Linked DNA regions of Oryctolagus cuniculus. The protein of the gene in region 6 interacts with the protein of the main gene of each other region in a biochemical or structural test. Links are inferred from orthologs where the notes say so. Each region holds a gene or a part of one and is shown on either strand. Other genes may lie near its edges.

Region 1 (3,500 bases), about 28 Mb from region 6:
TCTTAATTTAAAATAATTAATTAACTTGAGATAGATCACTACCATTTGCTAACTCACTGCCCACTGGGGCTGGATCAGGTAGAAGCTGGGAGCCAGGAACTCAACCCAGCTCTCCTACATGTGTGTCAGGAACCCAGCTACTTTAGCTTACTGTTGTTGCCAGGATCCACATTACCAGGAAGCTGGACATAGGAGCTGGAGCCTGTTTTTTTGTTTTTGTTTTTTTTTTAAACAGGCAGAGTTAGACAATGAGAGAGAGACAGAGAAAAAGGTCTTCCTTCCGTTGGTTCACCCCCCAAATGGCTGCTACAGCCGGCATGCTGCACCTATCTGAAGCCAGGAGCCAGGTGCTTCCTCCTGTTCTCCCATGCGGGTGCAGGGCCCAAGCATTTGGGCCATCCTCCACTGCCTTCCCGAGCCACAGAGCTCATAGCAGAGAGCTGGACTGGAAGAGGAGCAACCGGGACAGAACCGGCGCCCCCAACCGGGACTAGAACCTGGAGTGCTGGCGCTACAGGCGGAGGATTAGCCTAGTGAGCCCCGGCACCAGCCTGGAGCCTGGTTTTAAGCCCAGACACTCTTACATGGTATGTGGGCATCTTTACTGATAGACTAAATGCCCATCCCAAAGGAGGATTCTGGGATCAACTGAGAGAAAGCTGGTTAATGGTTATACTTGGCATCCCTAACTTTGCAGCTGGCTCTGATCTCCAGGAATTTCTAAGTTAGGGTTATAACCTTGAGTTCCTTAGCTACTAAGTAGAATTCTGAATCTTCCTATATGGCTTGATTTTTATTTTGACTTACTTTTTAGGTTTATCCAATTCTCACACACCTGTGAGACCTCCTAGTACCTCTAGTACTGGCAGTAGAGGCAGGTGAGTATTTATTATTAATACATATTTTTTTCTTTTTATTAAGAAAACTTCAAATATATCTAACAAAATGAACACCCATATACTTATCATCCACCCCTAAGATATCTTACTTTGCATATGCTAATACTTGAAAATTCAAAAAAATCCTGAAACACTTCTCATGCCAAACATTTTAGATAAAGGATTCTTAACCTGCATGGGCCTTGTTTAGTAGATTCCTTAAGTGGTTTACTGTAAGTGCCTCAGACCAGAAAATGTATTTTTAGAAAGTCTTTTGGAAGTTTGATCTGTATTTTCAAACAGTTTGAATCTAGGTCAATACCATATTTCTGTTAGCCACATTATGAGGTGTCCTTATCTTCTATGAGGTTAATTGTTGTCTTCACTTTAATATGGTTATTTTCTTATATAGTTGTTGTACCATATTTGTGACCTTTATTTGTTGTTGTTAATTAGCTGTGGGTCATCAGGAAGAACTGCTGAGAAGACAAGTCTTAGTTTCAAATCTGATCAAGTGAAGGTCAAGCAAGAACCTGGGACTGAAGATGAAATATGTAGCTTTTCAGGAACTGTAAAACAAGAAAAGACAGAGGATGGCAGGAGGAGTGCCTGCATGGTAAGCACCCTTGTGGTCTGGGAAGGATTTCCCAAAGTCACTTCACTGATTCTTACGTCTCTGAGTCTCTTAGACTGAGAAGAGGTCCCAGAGTCTGTCAGCTTCGCGCCTGGCATACTCCATATATATACCTCTTCTCCAACTCGACTTTGTTGGTAAAAGGCAGCTGTAATCAGAAAAGGTTTAATTGTATTATGTACTCATTTGGAATTATCTTTGAATTTCTGTTTAGTCAAGTTTTTTGATTGTTTGTTTGTTTGTTGCCATGGTTATAAATCGGGTTCTATCGTATTCTGAATTTATTTATCATTCTCTGTATTCACATTGAATCTCAGGCCACAAAAGAGCCTTAGCTGTTCACCTGGTCTTAGGAGCTCAGCATTAATGTTGCTGACATAAAAACAGTTTATTGATCAGTTTATTGTGATGGGAAGATTGTCTTTTTGCTTACAAATTATTAACCATTCTAGAGCAAATGGAAGATTTCATAAAATTTAGACTATAGGATAAAGAAAGACCCACGCCTCTCTTTGTTTAGCAGTTTAGATTTTTGTTATTTCTTCTTCCTCAGACTGGCACGTGGGAATTTCATCTCAATGTATTAGCATATTTAATACTTTATAAGTGCGTATTTATTTATTTGAAATGCACAGTTACAGAGGAAAAAGAGATCTTCCATCCGCTGGGTCACTTCTCAAGTGTCCATGATGCACTGGGCTGAGCTAGGCCAAAGCTCCATCCAGATCTCCCACATAAGTGTCTTCTTCCACTGCTTTCCCAAGCACATTAGCAGGGATCTGGATTGGAAGTGGAGCAATTGGGAATCAAATCTTCTCTGATAAGGGATTCCAGCATTACAGGCAGGGACTTAACGCACTACGCCACAATGTCGCCCCTATTTGTGTGTATTTTTGAGAGAGAACAAAAGAGCATGAAACAGAATTATCCTTGTGTTTGGAACAGTGTCACCTCTTGATACAGAACTTGATTTGGAAAATACCTCCATGAAAGTGGGTGCATAAAGGTGTGGAAGATTTCCTTTACATTGTCACAATATTCCTACATCAGTAGAATGAAAGGGGGATTATTATAGAATGCTGCTGAAGTGCCATGAGCAAATTCTCGTGTGAAAAATAGTATCCTATAATGAGAATAACCCTGTGCTCACTTCTGAATCAGTGTGCTTAGTTTAATTAATTTCCTTGTTATCTGAGTGAATCAATATTAGAGGGGCAGACCCCATAAGATTACATATTAGCATGCTTAAATAAATTTAAGGTTATTTTTATTCCTTTATGTCACTAAAATGATTGACAAAATAATTTTATGTCACCTTATCTATATGGATATTGACAGAACTTTCAAGTAAATATTGTGAAACAATAAGGATTAAATGGTTCTTCAAGAATTTGTCATTGTTTTGTTTTAGTTGAGCAGTCCTGAGAGTAGTTTGACACCACCTCTCTCAACCAACCTGCACCTAGAGAGTGAGTTGGATACATTAACAAGCCTGGAAAATCATGTGAAAACCGAACCTACAGATATGAATGAAAGCTGCAAACAGTCAGGGCTCAGCAGCCTGGTTAATGGAAAGTCCCCTATTAGAAGCCTCATGCACAGGTCGGCAAGGATTGGAGGAGACGGCAATAGCAAAGATGATGACCCAAATGAAGACTGGTGTGCTGTCTGCCAAAATGGAGGGGATCTCCTATGCTGTGAAAAATGTCCAAAGGTCTTTCATCTAACTTGTCATGTTCCGACCCTTCTTAGCTTCCCAAGGTACCAGTAAAATAATTGATTGTTTCTGTATCACATTTTCTTTATTCATTCATCTGATTTTTGTTGTTTCTTTTCATAGGCTAGAAACAGTAGGAAATTGTTCCAGGTGCATGTCCTTTACAAGTGTGTAGTATCTCTATAAAATGGGGAACCTCTTAGTTCTTTGGTATTACCTTCCAAACAAACTGTAAATAGAACAATAAAATGTCTAGAATCTTAAGGGTAAC
Region 2 (4,111 bases), on a different chromosome or scaffold from region 6:
ACCCAACAAGCCCCTGCCACTTCACTGGTTTCAGAACCCCACCAAACTTTGATGAACCCCAAGTCTAGCAGGCATCCTGGAGCCCTCCCCACCGCCAGACCCGCAGCCAATGGTGCTGGCCCCCCTTTCAAATTAAGGCAGAATCCGGTCTCTTCTCATCACCTGCCCTGCCACTGCCCGAGCTCAAGGCCCTGTGGTCACCTGGACTTCTAAGACGGGCTCCTAACCGGTCTCTGCCTTCACAGCCCATTCTGCACGCAGGAGCCAGGGTTCTTTTCGGGAACACAGATCCCAAGTTCACTCTTCTAAAACCCTGCAACGCTTCCCATTGCAACAACGGCCGGCTTCCACTGCTTCGCTCCTGGTCCTTGTGTTTTCCCCATTTCTCTGCTGTGAGCAGGGTTGGGGGAAACCAGCAAAGGTGTAACGGGAGTTACCAAGGGGGCGACACGGGTTGCTGGGTGACACCGAGCGCCTGGCGTTTGATAGGATGTTCTGGGCTGCGCGTGTTTCCCCGGCTCTCCTGTTTACAAAGACGCCAAGTCCACTGGCAGGATGGCATCGGAGCCGTGCCAGCACCTCGCCAGTGCACCTGCTTGTCCTGCTCGCTCCCTCGCACCCCGCCTGCCCTGGGCGCGCAGGACGCAGGTGCCCGCGCCCCCACCGGCGCCGCGTTGTGGGGCGGTGCCCGGCGTACCGCACCGGGTCCTTACAAAGCGTTTTGACGCCTGTCCAGCAACCCCCCCCCAAGCACAGGGAGCGCCTTCCGTGGCCTGCCCGGCCCCTTTGGCTTCGGGCCCCGTCCGGCGCGCAGATAGCGGAGCCCAGGCGAACTCGGAGCTTCGGGCCCCAGGCAGCGCCCGCCGCGTGACGTCACCGTCGGGGGCACGGGCGCGAGCTGCACCTGCCGCACAGCGTAGGTTCCACGCGCGCGCGCGCGCAGCATCCCGCGCCCCCCAACCCCCACAGTTCAGCGGCCCGGGGGCCCGGGGGGCTCGAGTCCAGAGCCGCGGCTGCCAGGAGTCACGCCCGGTCCCCCTGGACCGCGCAGGGGACGGACGGGTCCCCCGCGGTCACAGCCGCCGCCGGGGCCACGGAGCCGCAGCCGTCTCGTGGGAGGCGCCCCCACCCCACCCCCACGGGCCCCGGCCCCGCAGAGCCGCTCGGCCGCACCACGGACCCTGGGGCGCCGCGGCGCTCGCCGACCTGGCGGGCCGGGCCGCGGGGTTTCCCGCACACGGCGCGCAGGGGCGGCGGGGCGGGGCGCGGTGACGTACGGGCGTGACGCGCGACGCAGCGCGACGCGGTGACGCACGCCCCTTTGTTGGCTCAGTAGCGGCAGCAGCGGCCGTGGAGGTGGCGCTGGGGGCTGTTTTCTCTCGGAGGCCGGAGCGGAGCGGCGTCTGACTGAGGCGGGCGGCCACAGGCCCCTCGCCGCCTCCCTCGCCGCCTCCCGCGCGCCGTCCCCGCCGCCCGCCGCCCGCCGCCAGCCGCCCGCCGCCGCCGCCGCGCCGGGGAGGAGCCGCGGCCCGCGCGGCCGCAGCCAGGCCTGCGCCCCGGACACCCGCCGGAGCCGGAGCGAGAGCCGGGGCCTCGGCGTCCCCGCCCTCTCCCCGCCTCGGCCAGCGTCCGCCGCGCCATGGACTCGGACGAGGGCTACAACTACGAGTTCGACGAGGACGAGGAGTGCAGCGAGGAGGACAGCGGCGCGGAGGAGGAGGAGGACGAGGACGACGACGAGCCGGACGATGATAACCTGGACCTGGGCGAGGTGGAGCTGGTGGAGCCCGGGCTGGGCGTCGGCGGGGAGCGGGACGGACTGCTGTGCGGGGAGACGGGCGGCGGCGGCGGCAGCGCCCTGGGGCCGGGCGGCGGCGGTGGCGGCGGCGGCGGCGGCGGCGGCGGCGGGCCTGGGCACGAGCAGGAGGAGGACTACCGCTACGAGGTGCTCACGGCCGAGCAGATCCTGCAGCACATGGTGGAGTGCATCCGGGAGGTCAACGAGGTCATCCAGGTGAGCGTGGCCGCCGCGCGGGCCTGCCGGCCGCCGCCGCCCCTGCCGGGGATGCAGGGTGCGCGGGCGGGCGCTCGCCGGCCGGGCCGGGCCGGGCCGGGCCGGGCCGGGCCGGGCGCGGGGAGGCGCGCGGGGGCGGCGCTTCCCGGCCCCGGCCATGGCGCAGGCCTGCCGCCGCCGCCCGGGGCCTCCGGCTCGCGGCCGATGCCTGCCGCGCCGGGCCCGGCGGCCGCGGGCTGCCTCCCGCGCGGGGCGGGGCGGGCGCGGGTGCGGGAGGAGGAGGAGTGGCGGGGGATCGGCCCGGTCCTGGGTGCTCCGGGCCGGTCTGGGGAGGGACTAGGGCAGGCCCGCGAGCAGCTGGGTGTACGGTTGCCCCAAGCGGGCACGAGTCAAAGGAGAAACGGATCCGCCCGGCAGGCCGAGCGCCTGCCTGCTCGGGGGAGGGGAAGAGGCGCGGGTGGGCCCTTTCCGACGGCGCGGCTGCTGCTGGCGGCGGTGACGTCCTGGCTGGCTGCAGGCGAGCGCCGGGGCCGCTCCGGCCGGCCGCACACGCGTCCCTGCGGCTCGCCGGGCAGCCCCCGAGCGCAGGGCGTCCCCCTGGACGGGGCTCCGTTTTGTGAGGTTTTCTGTGTCTGAGCTCGGTGCTCTCCTGCTCCGTGGTCAGGAAGCGAGGCTTGGCCGAATTCGGTGATCGCGGCTCCTTTAAGCCTGTGCATCGGGTTTTGCAGGTGTTTTTTTTTTTTTTCTTTAAGGAAATCAAAACTTTTTATTGAGGGAAAAATCGTGGTGAGGCGGCAAGGGATGTGGTTGCAGAATAAAAATGCCTTGATCCGGTGCGGCGTTCCGAAGACGCCGGCTCCCTGCGCGAGCAGCAGTTGCTGTTGCTTTCCTGCCTGTCCCTCGGCACTTTTTTAGAAATCCCTCAGGCGGCTCGCTGGGTCCCCGATCAGCAGTGTGTCGTGGCCTGTGTCCTGACTCCGTTTCCAGCGGACCCCGTGGAGTAGTTTAGTAAGCACCAGTCTCAGAGTAGCCCCGTCTTTGAAGGCAGCACTTCCCGTTCTGAATAACAGGGAGTCTCGTATCTAGTGCTGTTCTTCAACAGTTGGGATCCAAGAAGGAAGCCGAACGGTTTTAGGTACAAATTTACTGCTTTTTTTTTTTTTTAATTCCACAAATAACGATAGTTGAAATACTGGGCCACCGAATTGAGAGCTTGCTTTTTTTACCTAAAGAGAATTTTAGGAATTTAAAGTGAAACTTTATTTACAGCTGTCATACAAAATCTGTTCTCAAGCTTATTGCCTGGCCTTCTGCAATTTTAATTAGCTTTAAAAAACTTGTAGATATTTGTTACTTAGTTTTCTGATTTTTTTTTGAAGTCTGTTTTTCCTGTGGTTAAGTCTCTTCTAGTTTTCTCAGCTGTGAGGCTTGTGTTAATTACCAAAGGTCCCAATCAAGTTCTTTATGTCACTTCTGGAAAGAAATGTGACCAGTGCATGTGATAGCATTCTTTTAAGTGAGAGAGAGTAAATGCTGATGGAGTGAACTAATAAGACCTACAGGATACCAGGGACTTTTTTTCTTTTTTATGTGTCCTACTTTTACCTTGTTTCCATGCCTGGTGTTTTGAAAGAAAACTTTCATCGTCTGCCTTATTGTAAGATCGGTTTTAAATAGGATTCCTGAATATACCTGGTGTTGTATACTCATAAGTATCTATCCCTTGTTCAAACCTCCTTCTTAGAAATAGCAATAAAATCGAAGGGCAGAGTGTTTCTGTGACCATTTTTTCTCCAAATGGTATACTTACCTAGGTCTCAGATGGGCTTTGGCTATGTTGCAAGTTCATTTTATTAATAGATGTAGACTTTAAAAGTTATGCAAGTAATAAATCCACATTGTGAGGAAAAAAACAGTGACTAGGCAAGAAAAATAAAATGACAAAATAAGCCTTCCGCTCAGAGAGAGAACACTAAACTGAACTGTAGTTACCTTTCCAGACCTCGGGATAGCTGCGCGGAGTTTCCAGTCCCGGTGGAATCATGCTGTGTGTTCTGTTTTCAGTGGAGGAGAGAGGGCAAAAACAAAGCAGTCTCT
Region 3 (3,500 bases), on a different chromosome or scaffold from region 6:
CATTTGAATTAAGTACTTCATTATATAATGAAGTTCTAAAATGTTCTTAGGTGCCAGGAGAATAAACATATTTGGACAAAGTACCTTTATTTTCATATTTTCTAGCCATGTATATGTGGCTAGAAGTCACTTGTGCACAACGATACGAGCATACTTAATGCAACACTGAAAGTGTGCACCTAACAGTTTGCTAAAATGGTACATTTTATGTATTTTTCCACATATCCAGACCCATACACCACATGCAGTCTCTTGATAAATGACTTAGGCTTGTTTGTAAAGTGCTCACTTCTCTATGCCAGTAACGTAAGTGAGATCTACATTCTGGTGGTCTAAACTGTAGCAGTTATAGAAGGAGTCCCTGCCAAGTTGTGGGTTTAGCTCTTTTGGAAAGACAGACTCTAGATAACTAGCTGTATTTGGCATATGCTTGGATTTTAAAATGGGTGATGGTAAATTATGTAGAAGAAAAGGGAAACAGTATTTGAAAAATTTGTTTCCAGCAGCTGTATAAAACTTCGTTATCCAATTCTGTCAATTCATATGGCCCATGAGAGGTAAACTTTGGAGTCGGTTTATTGTTGCCAAAAATACCAAGCTGGTGTATGTCCTAATAAGGCTTGGGCAATGATACAGTTAGACTTGTTTTACAATATGATGCTATTTTAGATGTATAACTGCAATATTTATTTTAAAATAGTTTAATAATATCTCTTTACTTTTAGCCGGCAAAACCAGTTAAAAGATCAACAGCAACAGCAAGTGGTGTCATTATGCCCTGATGACACAGAGTGTCTGACAGTCCCAAGGTACAAACGAGACCTGGTTCAGAAACTAAAAATTTTGCGGCAAGAACTCTCTCAGCAGCAGCCTCAGGCTGGCCACTGTCGCATTGAGGTTTCCAGGGAGGAGATTTTTGAGGTAAATTTTACAAGTCTTGTTTTAAAACAAAGAAAAGTTAAATTTAGCATTTGACTTTCTGCTTTCCAACAATACTTTTTTGGAACTCCTATCTCTTATAGAAGAATTTTCATTAGCTTTTAATTGTGGGAGATGAAAACAGTATATTTGGAGAGATTTCATAAGTAAGATAAGCTATTAAATGGGATGAAGAGTGTCACAAGTTCAGCTGGTTCAGTTTTGTCTCTGTGAATGCTTGGTGAATTTTTAAAGGTCACAGATATTATCCATCCCTTGCTAATTCTTCTGAAAGCTAAAGGTCGGTCTCTCTCTCTCTCTCTCTCTCTCTCTCTCTCTCTCTTTTAAAGATTTATATATTTGAAAAGCAGAGTAATGCGGTGGTGGTGGGGTGGAGGAGGGTGATCTTCCATTCACTGGTTCACTCTTCAGATGCACCAGGGGCTGCATCACACTGAAGCCAGAAGCTTTATCTAGATCTCCCACATGGGTGGTCAAGGCCTAAGCACTTGGGCCATCATCAGCTGCTTTCCCAGGCACATGAGCAGGGAGCTGGATCAGAAGTAGAGCACCTGGGACTCAAAATGGTACTCATAAGGGATGCTGGCATTGCGGTGACGCCATAACATCTGCCCCAAGGAGGACTAAGTCTTTTGTCTGATTATTATTGGGATACCATAGTTATTTTATTATATTTTAAAGGCTTAAAAGCAACATTTATCAGAATCAAAGACCTCCAGCCAGAGTGAAATGAATGGAAGAAGGCTGCAATAGAAGCAGAAGCCCAAAGGACCCCATGGCACTGGGTTTTTTAAGTACAATTTCAAAAGAAAAAAAATTGACAGATTGGCATTCAGTTACCAGGCAGGGACAAAACCCATCAAAAGACTTGATTTACAATCCTTTATTGTATCTGGCTTGTTCATGATAAAATAAAAAGCCATCCAGAAGGGTGGGATAAGTAACTTGTTTTCATAATAAACTGTGAGCTCAGGAATATGCAATCACCAATCCCTTGCTGAAATTCTCATGGTAAATTTGGAGATTCTGAAGGAGGGAGGGTGGACATTTTGCACTTGCTAAAGATAACCTTTTGGGGGGAAGCCTCAAATTCCACTGGGACCACCCTGACTGCCTATTAACCCATCTGACTCATCACATTCCCCCCTCAACAAGAATGGGCCCTTACATCTGTTAGGGGGACTGGACGATGATTGCTTCGGCTGCTTCATGTTGAAAAGGGGCGTCGTTGGGAAGGGCAGTCAAGACAGGGTTCCAGCTGGAGGCGGTTCTCTAGGGGGATGCAGTTCTCCAGGGGGATGCAGTGCCAGCTTGCAGAAACTGCTTCTGTCCAAGGTTCCATGTGCATGGCCACCTAGAATTTTACTTTTTCAAATCTGGAGAAAACAAATCTAACAAGTAGTTTTATCTCCCAGGATCTAAAACTGAGGACAGAGTCTTTTTTTTTTTTTTTTTTTTTTTGACAGGCAGAGTGGATAGTGAGAGAGACAGAGAGAAAGGTCTTCCTTTGCCGTTGGTTCACCCTCCAGTGACCGCCACAGCTGGCGCGCTGCAGCCGGCGCACCGCGCTGATCCGATGGCAGGAGCCAGGAGCCAGGTGCTTTTCCTGGTCTCCCATGGGGTGCAGGGCCCAAGCACCTGGGCCATCCTCCACTGCACTCCCTGGCCACAGCAGAGAGCTGGCCTGGAAGAGGGGCAACCGGGACAGAATCCGGTGCCCCAACCGGGACTAGAACCCGGTGTGCCGGCGCCGCTAGGCGGAGGATTAGCCTAGTGAGCCGCGGCGCCGGCCCCAACTAGGTTTTAAATATTTATCAAATGAATTGCTTTCAGTATGATTAAGCTTATACCCATTGTTTCTTAAAATTCTGTGACGTTTAAAACACTTGGAGTTTACCACTTGATTTAGTGAACATTATTTCACTTTATTTAAATAAAATTATGTTTTGTAGGCAGAATGTAAGAGTAAAGATTTAAATAGTTGTAGGCTAAAGGCATGAAATAATATATTTAAATTTTTTTTCAGGAATCATATCGGCAGGTTATGAAAATGAGACCAAAAGATCTGTGGAAGCGATTAATGATAAAATTTCGTGGAGAAGAAGGTCTTGACTATGGAGGGGTTGCCAGGTAAAGACTTGCTTGTCAATTAGTGATGTATGGATCTTTGTACTTGATTTTTTTTTTAAGATTTATTTGTTACTTGAAAGAGTTACACAGACAGAGAAGGAGAGGCAGAGAAAGAGTTCTTCCATCTGCTGGTTCACTCCCCAATTGGCTACAATGGCTGGAGCTGCGCTGATCCAATGCCAGGAGCTTCTACCAGGTTTCCCATACAGGTGCAGGGGCCCAATGACTTGGGCCATCCTCTGCTGCCTTTGCAGGCCATAGCAGAGAGCTGGATCGGAAGTGGAGCAGCTGGGTCTACAGTCTTGGACTGGCGCCCATATTGGATGCCGGCACAGCAGGTGGCAGCTTCACCCACTAAGCCACAAAACAGGCCCCTGTACTTGATCTTTATACTTGCAGATTTAAGTTACTTTCTGGGATGTAACTTTTCT
Region 4 (3,500 bases), on a different chromosome or scaffold from region 6:
AGACAGATAATCTTCCATCTGCTGGTTAACTTCCCAAAGGATCACAAAGGCCAAGGCTGGGCCATTTTCCACTGCTTTCCCAGGTGCATTAGTAGGAAACTGAATCAGAAGAGGAGCAGCCAAGACTGAAACCGGGGCTCTGATATGGGATGCTAGCGTTTTAAGCGATAACTTAACCAGCTGCGCCAAATCGCTGATCCCTAAAGTAGTGAATATTTTTTGAAGATTTATTTATTTTTTTGGAAGTCAGAGAGAGGAGAGACAGGGAGACCTTCCACCTGCTGGTTCACTCCCCAAGTGGCCCAAAAAGCCGGGGCAAGGCCAAGCTGAAGCCAGGAGCCTCTTCCAGGTCCCCTACATGGGTGGCAGGAGCCCAAGCACTTGGGCCATCTGCTGCTGCTATTCCCAGACCATTAGCAGGGAGCTGGATTGGAAGTGGAGCAACTGGGACACAGATCAGTGCCCACGGCTCAACACTCTATGCCACAACACCGCCCGCAATGAACACTTCTGAGACAAAATTCTCTCGGTGGTCTTTCCCTTCCTCTCTGAATCCTTCTGTGTGCTATGCACTCCCATCGCTCTGTCACCTCTACTTTTTTTTTTTTTTAAAGATTTATTTATTTATTTTAAAGGCAGAGAGAGAGAGAGAGAAAGAGAGAGAGAGGTCTTCCATCTGCTGGTTCATTCCCTAGATGGCTGCAACAGCCAAAGTTCAGCCAACCCAAAGCCAAGAGCTTCTTCTGGATCTCTGATGCGGGTGCCTTCCCAGGCCACAGCAGAGAGCTGGATAGTAGAGCAGCTGGGACTTGAACTGGTGTCCATGTGGGATGTCGACACTGCAGCTGACAGTTTTATCCACTACGCCACAATGCCAGCCCTGTGTCTCCTCTACTTCTACAGCACAGATGCTTTTAACCCTGTTATTTTTATCCCTCTAATAAATTAAAACATTTTTCTGGTTCTTCACATCTTAAGGACAAAGGCCTCTGCTCTAATGTTCTCAAAATAACGAAACTGTTATTATTTCATACTTTCCAACATGGCCTGCCCCTACCCTTCACAAGGCTCTGTCCTCGGCAAGCAGAATGCTATACTCCCCTCTCTCATCAGGGCACTTTGTTGTAAACAATGATGCTCTGTGACACTGGCAATCTTTAATCATCATAACAATACACACAGTTTCCATTTTACACATTTTAGCCCACTGTTTCTCAACTTATCCACAGCAAGAACCATTTTTGCTTTGTTTCTCATACCCAATCTGTCAAGGCTAAATACTTCACAAAATGCAATCAAAGGAAAGAATGAAAGTAAAAAGAAAGTACAAGCCCAAGTTTCTATCAGACACGACTGACACAAAATGCTTCTGTGAAATCACTATTAAAGTTTCTAACCTTGACTCTTGATTTCTATATGCAATGATATATCTGCATCAGATCATTAAGTACAACTCCTCTGCGTGGCAGTACTTAGGCCACTGGATCTCGAGAATAACCTGTGAAATCACTATCATATCATCCTTATCAGTCTGAGAGACAAAGCCATCAAAGCCCAGTTAAACCATCACTAAAGGCCTAAATTTCCTTATTTAGATCAGAAATGGCAAACAGGTTTCACCACCTGTGCCAACTTAACAGAGGGTGCCTTTCTGAAGGGCCACAGTAGGAAGATTCTGGGCCTCTCTGGGCTCAGTGAGAAAGTGATTAGTCGCGGCTCACTAGGCTAATCCTCGGCCTTGCGGCACCAGCACACTGGGTTCTAGTCCCGGTCAGGGCGCCGGATTCTGTCCCGGTTGCCCCTCTTCCAGGCCAGCTCTCTGCTGTGGCCAGGGAGTGCAGTGGAGGATGGCCCAAGTGCTTGGGCCCTGCACCCCATGGGAGACCAGGAGAAGCACCTGGCTCCTGCCTTCGGATCAGCGCAGTGCGCTGGCCGCAGCATGCCGGCCGTAGCAGCCATTGGAGGGTGAACCAACGGCAAAGGAAGACCTTTCTCTCTGTCTCTCTCTCTCACTGTCCACTCTGCCTGTCAAAAAAAAAAAAAAAAAAAAAAGAAAGTGATTGGTGACTGATCCATCGAAGCTGCAGTGGATACAGGAGTGGAAGCTTATATGCCCTGCATCTGCCACCCGGGCCCTACACAGTCCATGCTCACGTTCACAGAGGAAATCCCTTCACTGTTCTTACTCTACAATGTCCCCCCTCACATGCATACCTTCAAGTCTTTACTTAGGCCACCTGCCAGAGGGCGCCCTTGGTCTTTCTACCTAAAATCCCAAGGACCTTGCCTTCAAAACATCTCAAGTGCTGTTCTGCTTTACTCCCTGGGCTTCCCTGACACTCACCGCCACCTAATGTCCTTATTTACCTTGTCTGCCTGTCCAAGTCCCTAAGAATGAGGGACTTAGGAGAGTCTGTCTCTTCTGGTTACTACTACATCCCCAGAGCCCAGGACAGTAACCAGCAAAGAAATGTCTGTTGAATGCCTATCTCTAGGCTGAAGAACTGGACTCGCAGGGCTTTGACGGCAAGCAAGGGATAGGCGGTTTCAGTCCATGCATTCAGACATACCTGCAGTCACCTTACACGGAGAGACCCCATGGTAAGTCAATCTGCACAAGGTACAGAAGGCAAAATTGCAGCTGGAGCAGATGCCCATGGTGCAGCCCGGCTCCTGCATCACAGGCAGCTGGCAGCACGGGCGGGGGCAGTACACCACGTCTGCCATCAGGTCCAAGGAGGACTGCAGGAGAAGGCGGTCGTAGCGGGCAAATAACTCTGCTTCCACCAGCTCCTTGACCTGGAAGGAAATGCAAAACGCCACAGGTATGAGGACTCCCCAGCCAGTTCTGACCCTAAGGAGATGCTGCAGATGCTGGCGTAAACCAGATGAGCACACAATTTAACACCTCCACCTCACTTCAAAATTAAACCCAGGGGCCGGCACTGTGGTACAGTGGATTAAAACCATGGCCTGCAGAGCCAGCTTCCCAGATAGGTGGCGATTCAGGTCCTGGATAATGCACCTGGGAAAGCAGTGGAGGATGACCCCAGATATTGGGCTCCTGCACCCTTGTGAGAGACCCAGAAGAAACTCCTGGCTCCTGGCTTCAGCCAGGCCAAGCCCCATCTTTTGCGACCGTTTGGGGAATGAACCAGCAGATGGATGATAACTCTGTCTCTGCTTCTTTCTGTCTGTAACTCTGCCTTTCAAATAAATTCCTAAATTTTTTTTTTTTAAAAATGTGGTAACAGTCTGCATCCTGCCTGAGGTTGTCTACACATATGTCAAAAACTAAACAGATTGTATAATTAAATTTTTAAAAAGTTTGAGACAGAACTAGAGCTAGAGAAAGCATTTCTATCTGCTGGTTCACTTACCCAGTGATCACAAAGGCTGTGAAGGGGGAGAGGGAAGGAAAGGCAGGAGACGGAATCTCAACACCCAGGTCTCTAACATAAGTGGTAGGAATCCAACTAGCTGAGTCATCACCCTTGACT
Region 5 (3,500 bases), on a different chromosome or scaffold from region 6:
CTCTGATTTAAAGCAGTGGGGAAAGAAAGGAGCTTAATGCAATCAGCTCACTTTCTTTCTCCTCCCTCTGGTGAACTCCAAAAGCTGTAGAAGATTCTAGGGTTTCTGGATCTTGCATCAAAAGGGTCAATTCCCACAGCAATTTAATCTAGTTTCTGGAATAGGACCTACGGCCTCCAACGCAAATGTTCACTTTAAGGGCACCAACTTCAATCTAAGTCATGGGAAATTATTTTAGCATCATCTAATCTCTAGCAAAACAGAGCAGTAGTTGCCTCTGGGAAAGAGAATGGGGTGGGAGGGCAGCAGGTAAACCGTTTGCATTTTGCTTCATAAATTATCTATGCAAAAAAAATTAATAATAAATTAAAAATTTTAAAAATCTTTAGTCCTCTTTCTGTGATTTCCTGTACCTTGTTGTCCATAATTGTCCACTGGCCCTCAGGATTCTGCTTCAAAACACAGTGCTTTCTGGAAATCATCAAAGGGCAGACTTTTGACACCAGTTGGTATGTGACACTAAATCCTCGTCCCAGAGACACCTAGGAAGGTAACAACAATGAAGAGACACAATCAATCATTATGCGAAATAGGGAGGCCCTCTACAAGCTTATCAACTAGTGTGGTACACAGATCCTGACCTACGAAACCCGGATTCCTGCAAAACCTACATAGATCCTCGGCGATTTCCTCTTCAGCTGCCACAAAGCCAGCACACAGAAAAAGGAAAGAAGTTACAAAAAGAAGAAGCTGAAAGGGATTAACCATGGAATGTAAAGGTTAGGAGGTCCTGGAAAGGTCATCTGGTTCAATCACCCATGACATTAAGGAATTATTTCCACACATCCCAATCAACAAATCTAAAACACAGCCAAGAACCACAGCGTTTAGATGAGACAGGCCCCCTGCTTTTCCAGTGGTCCTTTCTCCCTATACATTCCATCCATTGGCTGAGGCTCTGTCCTGGGCACTATCAGAAAATCCCCAACTCCCTTTCCAAGTCACAGCTATCTACCAAGTCTTCTCTCTTCCTGGCTCAGGAACCTAGTTACTTTAACCTTCCTCCAATGTACGGGTTTGAATCTCTGTCATTCTAATTGATCTGTGAAAGGACTCCTAGCTTATCTTTATTCCTGGATGTGGGGAGCAACCCGGACTAGACTGAGTTACTGGAATTAAGACTTATTCTATGCATCTGCTCTCCCACAATATGGCGCTGGGAGAGAAGAAAACAGCTTCTACACAGCTGCCTCCAGTTCAGCCAATAAACTGTAGGACTCGCTCCTGATTGGAGGAGAGCAGCGTACTCGGCGTGTGGGCAGCCGAGTTAGGATTGGCGGAGGAGGACTATAAAGGAGGAGAGAGACGGCATGCACCAGGAACATCTAAGGGGAACACCTGTGCAGCCCCCGAGAGAGCCGGCTGGCAGTGTGCCGCTCCCCTGCGGAAGTGGGGAATGTGGCCAGGGGGAACTGCCCTTCCACGGAGGTGGAAGGGACAGTAGCCAACCCGGGAAGAACCAGCAGCAAACCCGGGGAGGGCCGAGCAGACGAAAGAACAGCGCAGGGTCCTGTGTCGTTCCTCCACGAAGAGGGGGAGCGGCATAATGGTGCCATGACTCGGATATGAAGCCTAGGCAGGGTTTAGTGTCGTTCCTCCACGAAGAGGGGGAGCGACACCTGGATGCCATATTAAGAAAAATAAACTTAATTTCCATTACATAATCAAGGCCAAGCATCACTTTCCCAGTTCTTGATATTACCACTGCAGCATATAAATGGCATTAGCTTTCAAAGCAGATCCAGTGCCCTGGAAGGATATCCTCAAACTTAGAGATGTTTCCCCTCCCCCAAGAACTGCTATGCTAAATCATGTTTCTTCCAGCCTGTACTTGACTAGTTGGAAAAATCTGGATTCCAGTGCAGGACCTTACATTGATCCCTATTAAATTTCATCTTGTTAGTTCAGCCTATCACACCGGCTTGTCAAGACTTTTCTGATTTTTAATCCGCCATCAGATCAGACATACTCAATATTCCTTGCAGCTTTAAATCATTCACCAAATTGATATGCTTTCTGTACCTTCATCCAAGACACAAATATACTGAAATGGGATGTAGCCAAAGACAAAGCTCTCAAGAAAGCTTCTACTAACAGTCTGAGTGTAGCTTCAGTCATAATCCAATCCGAGTTTCTGCACTGAGTCCAAGTCCTCTGTCTCCCACAGGGACAAGGCTGAACAGAACGCTAATTCCCAACTGTCATGCTTTCCTGACTGACCTGTCTGGTTCACACAGCCCAGCGAAGGTGGGAAGTGAAACTCTTCTGTCATCTAGGCTTAGAATTCCATGCTTGCTGTTCTCAGTGCATAAACCACCTCCTTAATGATCCACATTGTAAACGTAGCTGGCAACATTAAATTAAAACCTGTGGTTTTTGAAAAACTACTCTTTATCGATTTTAAAATCTTCAGATTCACGCCTGTTTTCCTCTGTCCCTCAGACTGAGGACCGTGACTCTCTCTGACCTAATCTATTAGGTTTCCACAAACTCTCATCTCAGTAACCGACACTGCCATCTATACAAACTGCTCAGCCCCAAACCCACAAGCCCTCTTTGATCGATCTGTTCCTCAGCCCCAGATCTCAACTGGCAGCGATTCTATGGCAGTGACTCAAACACATCTCAGCCTACTCATTCCTATCCCCATGACCCCTACCCAAGTCCAAACCACTGGGCTTCTTGTTCCTGTTCTCATCCTCCTTAACTCTGTTCACACACACACCGGCTGGAGTGGTAATAAGAACTTTAAATCAGGTAACTTCCTTTCTTCCTTTAAAATCTTTCAATGATCCAAACTTCTTCCCAAAGCCGTAAAGCCGCCAATGTCCTGACCGCCTTCATGCCTTTCCCTTAGTGCCATGCACAGCCCAGACGCTAGTTGTTTCAGCCATCAGGCCTTCTCTTCATTCTGTCACCTCCCGCTCCAACATCCACTGACCTGGGAGCCTTCTCCCTTGTCCACTTGGCTTGGGGCACTCACTTCTCAGATCTTTATGCGGTGCTTTGTCACCTTTCAAGTTTCAGCGCCTCAGGTCTTGTTGCTATCTGCTCCCCTCCCCCATTGTATTTCTTCATGTTATTAGCATGCAGTTACCATGATCCAAAATTATCTTGTTTTACTTTTCCCTTCCCCTTTATTAGAATATGAACATCATAAGCAGGCACTTTATCTTTTTTTTTTTTTTAACAGCCAGAGTTAGACAGTGAGAGAGAGACAGAGAGAAAGGTCTTCCTTCCTTTAGTTTACCCCTCAAATGGCCACTACAGTCAGTGTGCTGCGCCGATCCGAAGCCAGGAACCAGGTGCTCCTGGTCTCCCATTCGGGTGCAGGGCCCAAGCACTTGGGCCATCCTCCACTGTCCTCCCGGGCCACAGCAGAGAGCTGGACTGGAAGAGGAGCAACCGGGACAGAATCTGGCGCTCCAACCAGGACTAGA
Region 6 (3,645 bases):
CATGCTGTATGACTGTTGTGAGGATTAAATCAAACACCCTATGTTAAATGCCACAGTGCCAAGCCCACAATATGGATTCAGTAAGTACCAGCTATTATTGTAATCCCTGTTAGAAGGGTGATGATACGTCATAGGACTTCAAAATATCTTACAGCAAGCTGGTTCTTTCTGGCTTATAATCAAGCAATTTCACCACCTATGCAGGAGATGATTTGTAGTTGGTGCATGTAAGAATTGAAATGAAAATAAATCTAAACAAAATGTGCTATTAGAGCTCATTCATCTGTCTTTTAGAATTTTCGTTGCTTCAGGGAAAACTAAATGGAAGAGGATGGCTAAGGAATCCTCCTTTGTTACTTGTATGAGTTAATGCATCTAACAGGAGGCTGGTTCTTAGTGCCAACATCTTGGTAATGCTTTGATAACCCCTCATGTGCTGAAAAAGTCAGGATGTTTGGTCCTGGTGGAGAGACTGGCAATGACTGAATCGAGCTCCTCAATATTGTTAATTTGGCAGCTAATATTGGCAAGTCTCTCAGTTTTATAGAACTAATTTTCTTCCACTGTAAATGGGCACTCATTATTTATGTCTGGTCAAGGATTCTGAGTGTTCTAAGATCTCTATATTTCAGGCCCTAATTCCTGAATAAGCTGAAAGACTGATTGGTGCATACAAAATGCCTTTGTCAAATCTTGTTTATCTCTGCGGGTCACATTAGATGTTGTGACTATTTCTCATGCTGGTATAGCTTGATCCAGTTTCTGGCTCATTACATTTGTTTCCTTACGCCAATAATTTTTCTCTCACAGCTGAAATGCTCTATTTGCTTCCACCTCACACCATTCTTGGCCAAATTTTCAGGGAATGAATAAGGTTGTGATATAGATCTCAAGTCTGCCACAGGCACCCAACTTCCAGGCAGGAAAGGAAAACAATGAATGTAGAAGAAAGAAATATGACTGCAGCAAGAGAAGGTAGAAACTGAATTTATCCATCTTCCTTTGCTTTCTCACAATGGAGCCCTTTGTGAAGTTAACTGCTGTTAAAAACAAATTGTCATGAAAAGAGACTCAGAAGGTAGGAAGACAAAGATCAATTAGAAAGCATACCGATTCAGTAGTATGATAAGCTAAATATTTGGAGAAATTTACTCAATATAAAATTCCTATCAAACTAAAACTCCACAGCATTTTTAACCAATATTCAAGAGTGAAGATGAAATTAAGATATTTTCGAGCCGTCCACGTCGTTCTCGCGATACCCGCCGCCTCCATACCAAGCGCCTGTGTCTGGCAGAGCCGGCGTGAGACCAAGAGACAATCCTTCCCCGCCGCCCGGATAATCAAGAGTTTTGGCCGGACCTCTGAGCATACACCGAGAGAGGGAGAGAGGAGCCAGACTAAAAGCACAGACTATGGCGCTGAAACGGATTAATAAGGAACTTAGTGATTTGGCCCGTGACCCTCCAGCACAATGTTCTGCAGGTCCAGTTGGGGATGATATGTTTCACTGGCAAGCCACAATTATGGGACCTAATGACAGCCCATATCAAGGCGGTGTATTCTTTTTGACAATTCATTTTCCTACAGACTACCCCTTCAAACCACCTAAGGTTGCATTTACAACAAGAATTTATCATCCAAATATTAACAGTAATGGCAGCATTTGTCTCGATATTCTAAGATCACAGTGGTCTCCTGCTTTAACTATTTCTAAAGTTCTTTTATCCATTTGTTCACTGCTATGTGATCCAAACCCAGATGACCCCCTAGTGCCAGAGATTGCACGGATCTATAAAACAGACAGAGATAAGTACAACAGAATATCTCGGGAATGGACTCAGAAGTATGCCATGTGATGCTACCTTAAAGTCAGAATAACCTGCATTATAGCTGGAATAAACTTTAAATTACTGTTCCTTTTTTGATTTTCTTATCCGGCTGCTCCCCTATCAGACCTCATCTTTTTTAATTTTATTTTTTGTTTACCTCCCTCCATTCATTCACATGCTCATCTGAGAAGACTTAAGTTCTTCCAGCTTTGGACAATAACTGCTTTTAGAAACTGTAAAGTAGTTACAAGAGAACAGTTGCCCAAGATTCAGAATTTTTTAAAAAAATGGAGCATGTGTATTATGTGGCCAATGTCTTCACTCTAACTTGGTTATGAGACTAAAACCATTCCTCACTGCTCTAACATGCTGAAGAAATCATCTGAGAGGGAGGGAGATGGATGCTCAGTTGTCACATCAAAGGAAGCAGCATTATTCTAGCAGCATCCATTCTTGTTTAAGCCTTCCACTGTTAGAGATTTGAGGTTACATGATATACTTTATGCTCATAACTGATGTGGCTGGAGAATTGGTATTGAATTTATAGCATCAGCAGAACAGAAAATGTGATGTATTTTATGCATGTCAATAAAGGAATGACCTGTTCTTGTTCTACAGAGAATGGAAATTGAAAGTCAAACACCCTTTGTATTCCAAAATAGGGTCTCAAACATTTTGTAATTTTCATTTAAATTGTTAGGAGGCTTGGAGCTATTAGTTAATCTATCTTCCAATACACTGTTTAATATAGCACTGAATAAATGATGCAAGTTGTCAATGGATGAGTGATCAACTAATAGCTCTGCTAGTAATTGATTTATTTTTCTTCAATAAAGTTGCATAAACCAATGAGTTAGCTGCCTGGATTAATCAGTATAGGAAACAATCTTTTGTAAATGCAAAGCTGTTTTTTGTATATACTGTTGGGATTTGCTTCATTGTTTGACATCAAATGATGATGTAAAGTTCAAAAGAATGAATATTTTGCCATGTTCAGTTAGAGTGCACAGTCTGTTACAGGTTGACACATTGCTTGACCTGATTTATGCAGAATTAATAAGCTATTCAGATAGTGTAGCTTTAATATGCTGCACCGTGATACTGGCAGCCCTGGAGTTCATAGATGGACTTGGGACCCAGCAGTTTTGAAGCGTGTATATGGAGTTTTAAGAAATTTATTTTCCAGGTGTAGCCCCATCTAACTAAAACTTATCTTCACCTTGTACACTTGACAGCTGATAAAAACATAACTTGGGAGTAATAATGGGTCAAAATTTACAAAATAAAGTACTGTTTTGGTGTGGGAGTTGTCATGAGGCTGTGTTGAAGTGACTTAACTATGTGGGATATTGAGTATCCATTGAAATGGATTTGTTCAGCCATTTACATTAATGAGCATTTAAAACAGATCATTTCAGGTGACTTAACATGAATGAATAAAATGCTATTGAAAAAAAAAAAAAGAAATTAAGATATTTTCAGACAAAGAGAAAATTTACCAACCACAGATACTCACTGGAAGAATAACTGAAAAAAATCTACTTCAGGTAGAAGATTAAAAGTATTATTAAACTCAATGGTTAAGTCCCCACTTCAGACACCTGTGTTCATATCAGAGTGTCTGGTTTGGAGTTACAGCTCCACTTTCAATTCCAGAAACCTGTTAATGCACACCTTAGGAAGCACTGGTGATGGCTCAAGGAGTTGGTCCCAGACTGAGTTCAAGGCTCTTGACTTTGGCCTCACCCAACGCTGAATGCTGTGGGCATCTGGAACGTGAACCAGCAGATAGAATATCTCTCCTGGTCTGACT
Region 7 (4,172 bases), on a different chromosome or scaffold from region 6:
TAAGGGATACCAGCGTGGCCACCACACAGCCTGCAGGTCTGTCCGTTTGCCACCGCCTCCTCCCCCTCCCCGACCGTACCAGTCTGCCAGCACGGTCTGCCATTTAGACTCCTGCAGTAGCCCCAGACCGGCCTTCCTGCTTCTCCCCGGCCCTCTCTACACTCTCCCAGCAGCCGGAGACACCACTCACGCCCCTGCTCCCCGCGGGGAACACCTGGATGCTGCAGCCCTGGGGGGGAGGGAGGACACATGCCTGTGCAGGGCCTCTGCCCCTACTTTTATTTACTTGAACGAAAGAGTTAGGCAGAGACAGAGAGAGAGGTCTTCCATCTGCTGGTTCATTCCCCAGATGGCCTCAACGGCCGGAGCTGAGCCGATCCGCAGCCGGGAGCCAGGAGCTTCCTCCGAGTCTCCCACATTAGCAGGGAGCTGGGTCGGCAGTGGAGCGGCCAGGCCTCAAACCAGCGCCCGTATGGGACGCCAGCGCCGCAGGCCGGGGCTTTAACCCTCCAGCCCCTCTCTCCTTGTTTTTTAAGTATTTTATCTGACAGGCAACGTTACAGTGAGGAGGGGAGACAGCCATTTCCCACCCGCGGGCCCACTCCCAAAATGGCGGCAGCGGAAGCCAAGAGCTCCATCCGGGTCTCCCACGTGGCCGGTAGGGGCACGAGCACTTCCGGGAAGCAGGAGAAAGGAATGCTGGGTCGGAAGTGGGGCCGCCCGGACTCGCGCGGGAAGCTGAGTGCGCCACAGCGGCCCCTCCCCGCTTCCAGATCATTCTATGGAGGTGTTCTTAGCCCGGGTGGTCCCCACGGCTCAAGCCCTCACCGCCTTCAAAGTTTTGGCTCAAACACCTGCTTTTCTGGGGGAAATGGCTTTCTCCAGCCACCCACACTACCCCTTCTCATTGCTTTATTTATTTATTATTGCTTTATGTATTCCCCCCACCCTCCTTGGGTTGAATTGCGGCCTCAACACACCCTGCCTGAGTCAGTCTTGTTAGTTAGTTCTTGGCCGCCCAACTAAAACGTCACAGTATTCCTCAAGTATGGCACCCGCCATTCCTACGAACAGCGCCCAGCACGCACGCAGCCGTCAGGGCACTTCGCGAGGAAGCGATGGGCGACTTACCAAAGGCGGGGGCTGCAAATAAGCGGGCACCTGGCCCTCCCACGGCCACCTGCCCTCCAATCCCTTCCTCTCCACCGAGAGGGGTCGAGCAGGGGGCCTCCCGTCCTTTCGTCCTCCCGCCTCGTGGGGGAGTCGAGGCCCCGCGGGCGGCCCGCCGCAGGGGGGCGCGGCTAGGCGGCCCTCTCTATGGTCTCTCCTCCCCAGCGCCCCGCGTGCCTCTATGGTTCTTCCTGTCAGCAGTCGGGAGGGGGCGCTGTGCGCAGGCGCGAGGTGACGCCGCGGCAGGGCCGGAAGGAGCGCGGCGGCGGCGGCGGTGGCGGTGGCGGACCTGTCGGCGGTAGAGCCAGCTGACTGAACGCCGCGGCGGCGGGCGGCCGGGCGAGCTCGCGTCGCGAGCCGGCGAGGTGGGTGGCGAGGCCGGCTTGGCCGCGGGGCCTGAGGCGAGGCGGCCTGTCTGCCCGCCGCCCGGTGGGAGTCCCTGTGGGAGTGGGGGCGGGGGCCAGGGCCGCGAGGGGCTGGCTGTGAGGGCGGCCGGGCCGAGGGGGCGCGGGCCGGGGTCTGGGCCCGGCTCAGGACGCCGCCGAGCCGCTGGAGCCGGGGCTGGAGCGGGCGGAAGGGCTGCGGGCGTCCGGGCGCCCCGCTCCCGCCACTTCGGGAAGTTTGCGCGGGGCGGCCCGCGCGTCTGTTTCGGGGGTCCTCGCTCCGCCGGTCCCGGGCTGGAACCCGCGGGGTCCGTGCAGCCGCGCGCGCGGCCTCGGCCGGCCGGAGGAGGCGGACCGCGACTTTGAACCCTGCTCCCCGCAGCCCCCGGGTGCCGACCTTTCGCCGTCGGTCCCGGGATCTCGGCGGAAGTTGGCGCCTGTCACCGAGCGGGGCCGGGGTCCCGGGGCGGCGCGGGGCGCGCGGGCGGCCCGGCCCCGAGACAGCTCTGGCCTCTGCTGTGGAGCCTGGCGGCCGCTCCGAACCGGTGCCAGCTCCAGTCGTCGCGGTCGGCGACTTGGGGGCAGTCGTCCTTGGGGATTCGACCGTGCAGACAGAACATCGTCTCCGTGCCCTGGAAGGAGGCGGGAAGAGGACAGGGAAAAGCCCCCGGCCTCTTCCCGACTTGGGGAGGTCGCCTAAGCAGTGGCCTCCGTGGCTTTGCCTTGTGTCCGGTTAATTCACTGTGCCCTGTGGGTAGGGCATGGTGGTGAGTTGGAGGAGCAGGCTGGCGGGCTTAGGGCAGAGTTTGCACCCCTGCGTAACCCTCGCTAGACGCTGCACACAGGGACCCCTCTGAAGAGAGAGCTGTTGAGTGGCTCTGTGAGTTAACCCGCTGCAGGCGTCCTGTACGGGCACCAGTTGGAGTCCCGGCTGCTCCACTTCCGATCCAGTTCCCTGCTGTGGCCTGGGGAAGCAGCAGAGGGTGGCCCAGGTCGTCGGGCCCCTGCACCTGCGTGGGAGACCCGGAGGAGTCTGGCTCCTGCCTCCCTGCTCAAACCCTGGCTGTTGTGGCCATTTGGGGAGTCAACCAGCAGATAGAATCTCTTTGTCTCTTCCTCTGTCATTGTAACTCTAACTTTCAAATAAGTAAATCGTAAAAAAAAAAAAACCTTTGAAGGCCTTGTAGTAAAGTCTAATGATTTGGGTTCTGACTCGGAGACTGAAAGCATACAGATAGGATGGGCGGGAGAGGAGTGTTTGCTGACGGGAGGATGAGCTAGTATTGATTACGCTCACTAGTGGAGTCTTGGTTTACTTCAGGCTAGAGTTTTTTTTTTTTTTTTTTTTTTTTTTGGACAGGCAGAGCTAGAGAGAGACAGAGAGAAAGGTCTTCCTTTGCCGTTGGTTCACCCTCCAATGGCCACTGCGGCCGGCGCACCGTGTTGATCCGATGGCAGGAGCCAGGTGCTTCTCCTGGTCTCCCATGGGGTGCAGGGCCCAAGCACTTGGGCCATCCTCCACTGCCTTCCCCGGGCCACAGCAGAGAGCTGGCCTGGAAGAGGAGCAGCTGGGACAGACTCTGGCCCCCTAACCGGGACTAGAACCCGGGGTGCCGGCGCTGCAGGTGGAGGATTAGCCTAGTGAGCCGTGGCGCCAGCTAGTTTTTTATTATTATTTGAAAGGTGTAATGACAGAGATCTTCCATCCATTGTTTTTGCCAACTGGCTGGGGCAGGCTGAAGCCAGGAGCCAGAAACTCCATCCTGGTCTCCTACGTGGGTGGCAGGTGCCCAAGTACTTGGGCCATCTGCTGCTGCTTTTCCAGGTGCCTTAGCAGGGTGCTGGATTGGAAGTGTCGTGGGACTTGAACAGGCGTCTGACGTAGGTTGCCAGTGTCACAGTTTAACCCACTGCAGCACACTGCTGGCCCCATTATCTTTATTTAATATATTTTTTTAAATACCTATTTGAAAGGCGTGCTTACAGAGAGGAGAGACAGATCTTCCACCTGCTGGTTTACTACCCAGGTGACAGCAACAGCCAGGATTGGGCCAGGCCAAAGCCAGGAGCTTCATCCGAGTCTCCTACATGGGAGGTGGTAGGGGCCCAAACACTTGGACCATCTTCCGCTGCTTTCACAGGCCGTTAGCGTGGAGCTGGATCATAAGTGGAGCAGCCTGGTCTTGAACCTACTATGCACAACACTGGCCTCATTGTCTATTTCTAAGGGGAAGAAACTAAGATGTTGAAAACAGCTTACTTGGTCACATTGAAGGTCAGGGTCAGGACTTGAATTCAGTGTTTCCGGAGTCTTTCACTAGTTGTCCATCTGTACCTGTGAATGCTGCCTATTCACAAAGTGTTGCCAAAGTGGCAGCGTTGTGCTTGGCACCGTGCTGTGTCCTGGGGCGAGAAACATGAATCAAACAGATGATCCCGCCTTCTTGGAAGGTTTAGCATGGAGAGCCGTGGTGAGCAGTGTCCTGAGTGACCGAGTGACATTTCTACTGTGCTAAGTACTTTGGACAGCTGAGGGATGCTGTATGAGTTCACGGAGCGGGCGGCGGTGTACGGAGGGGAATAGGAAAGGGTTTTCTCTGAGGAAGTGAAGGGCTGAAG

What was found.
Region 1: the proteins of ubiquitin-conjugating enzyme E2 D3 (region 6) and TRIM33 form a complex in vitro, tested with the Homo sapiens proteins (2 studies listed by BioGRID). The link is inferred for Oryctolagus cuniculus from reciprocal best matches to the Homo sapiens genes UBE2D3 and TRIM33.
Region 2: the proteins of ubiquitin-conjugating enzyme E2 D3 (region 6) and ARIH1 form a complex in vitro, tested with the Homo sapiens proteins (2 studies listed by BioGRID). The link is inferred for Oryctolagus cuniculus from reciprocal best matches to the Homo sapiens genes UBE2D3 and ARIH1.
Region 3: the proteins of ubiquitin-conjugating enzyme E2 D3 (region 6) and SMURF2 form a complex in vitro, tested with the Homo sapiens proteins (12 studies listed by BioGRID). The link is inferred for Oryctolagus cuniculus from reciprocal best matches to the Homo sapiens genes UBE2D3 and SMURF2.
Region 4: the proteins of ubiquitin-conjugating enzyme E2 D3 (region 6) and RNF14 form a complex in vitro, tested with the Homo sapiens proteins (2 studies listed by BioGRID, with this or other methods). The link is inferred for Oryctolagus cuniculus from reciprocal best matches to the Homo sapiens genes UBE2D3 and RNF14.
Region 5: the proteins of ubiquitin-conjugating enzyme E2 D3 (region 6) and RNF8 form a complex in vitro, tested with the Homo sapiens proteins (4 studies listed by BioGRID). The link is inferred for Oryctolagus cuniculus from reciprocal best matches to the Homo sapiens genes UBE2D3 and RNF8.
Region 7: the proteins of ubiquitin-conjugating enzyme E2 D3 (region 6) and RNF216 form a complex in vitro, tested with the Homo sapiens proteins (2 studies listed by BioGRID). The link is inferred for Oryctolagus cuniculus from reciprocal best matches to the Homo sapiens genes UBE2D3 and RNF216.

The regions. Positions count from the first base shown.
Region 1 is NC_091438.1:55,985,968-55,989,467, forward strand, and holds part of TRIM33 (E3 ubiquitin-protein ligase TRIM33), read left to right. Parts: intron 1-814; coding exon 815-878; intron 879-1,334; coding exon 1,335-1,494; intron 1,495-2,923; coding exon 2,924-3,273; intron 3,274-3,500. UniProt on the Homo sapiens protein: Acts as an E3 ubiquitin-protein ligase. Promotes SMAD4 ubiquitination, nuclear exclusion and degradation via the ubiquitin proteasome pathway. According to PubMed:16751102, does not promote a decrease in the level of endogenous SMAD4.
Region 2 is NC_091443.1:110,729,969-110,734,079, reverse strand, and holds the start of ARIH1 (E3 ubiquitin-protein ligase ARIH1), read left to right. Parts: upstream 1-1,311; 5' UTR 1,312-1,639; coding exon 1,640-2,014; intron 2,015-4,111. UniProt on the Homo sapiens protein: E3 ubiquitin-protein ligase, which catalyzes ubiquitination of target proteins together with ubiquitin-conjugating enzyme E2 UBE2L3.
Region 3 is NC_091448.1:14,171,750-14,175,249, forward strand, and holds part of SMURF2 (E3 ubiquitin-protein ligase SMURF2), read left to right. Parts: intron 1-725; coding exon 726-921; intron 922-2,965; coding exon 2,966-3,069; intron 3,070-3,500. UniProt on the Homo sapiens protein: E3 ubiquitin-protein ligase which accepts ubiquitin from an E2 ubiquitin-conjugating enzyme in the form of a thioester and then directly transfers the ubiquitin to targeted substrates.
Region 4 is NC_091437.1:29,528,012-29,531,511, reverse strand, and holds part of RNF14 (E3 ubiquitin-protein ligase RNF14), read right to left. Parts: intron 2,800-3,500; coding exon 2,571-2,799; intron 1-2,570. UniProt on the Homo sapiens protein: E3 ubiquitin-protein ligase that plays a key role in the RNF14-RNF25 translation quality control pathway, a pathway that takes place when a ribosome has stalled during translation, and which promotes ubiquitination and degradation of translation factors on stalled ribosomes.
Region 5 is NC_091436.1:132,279,698-132,283,197, forward strand, and holds part of RNF8 (E3 ubiquitin-protein ligase RNF8), read right to left. Parts: intron 543-3,500; coding exon 414-542; intron 1-413. UniProt on the Homo sapiens protein: E3 ubiquitin-protein ligase that plays a key role in DNA damage signaling via 2 distinct roles: by mediating the 'Lys-63'-linked ubiquitination of histones H2A and H2AX and promoting the recruitment of DNA repair proteins at double-strand breaks (DSBs) sites, and by catalyzing 'Lys-48'-linked ubiquitination to remove target proteins from DNA damage sites.
Region 6 is NC_091438.1:28,033,138-28,036,782, reverse strand, and holds ubiquitin-conjugating enzyme E2 D3, read left to right. Parts: upstream 1-1,242; 5' UTR 1,243-1,415; coding exon 1,416-1,859; 3' UTR 1,860-3,145; downstream 3,146-3,645. UniProt on the Homo sapiens protein: Accepts ubiquitin from the E1 complex and catalyzes its covalent attachment to other proteins. In vitro catalyzes 'Lys-11'-, as well as 'Lys-48'-linked polyubiquitination.
Region 7 is NC_091450.1:39,630,311-39,634,482, reverse strand, and holds the start of RNF216 (E3 ubiquitin-protein ligase RNF216), read left to right. Parts: upstream 1-1,372; 5' UTR 1,373-1,535; intron 1,536-4,172.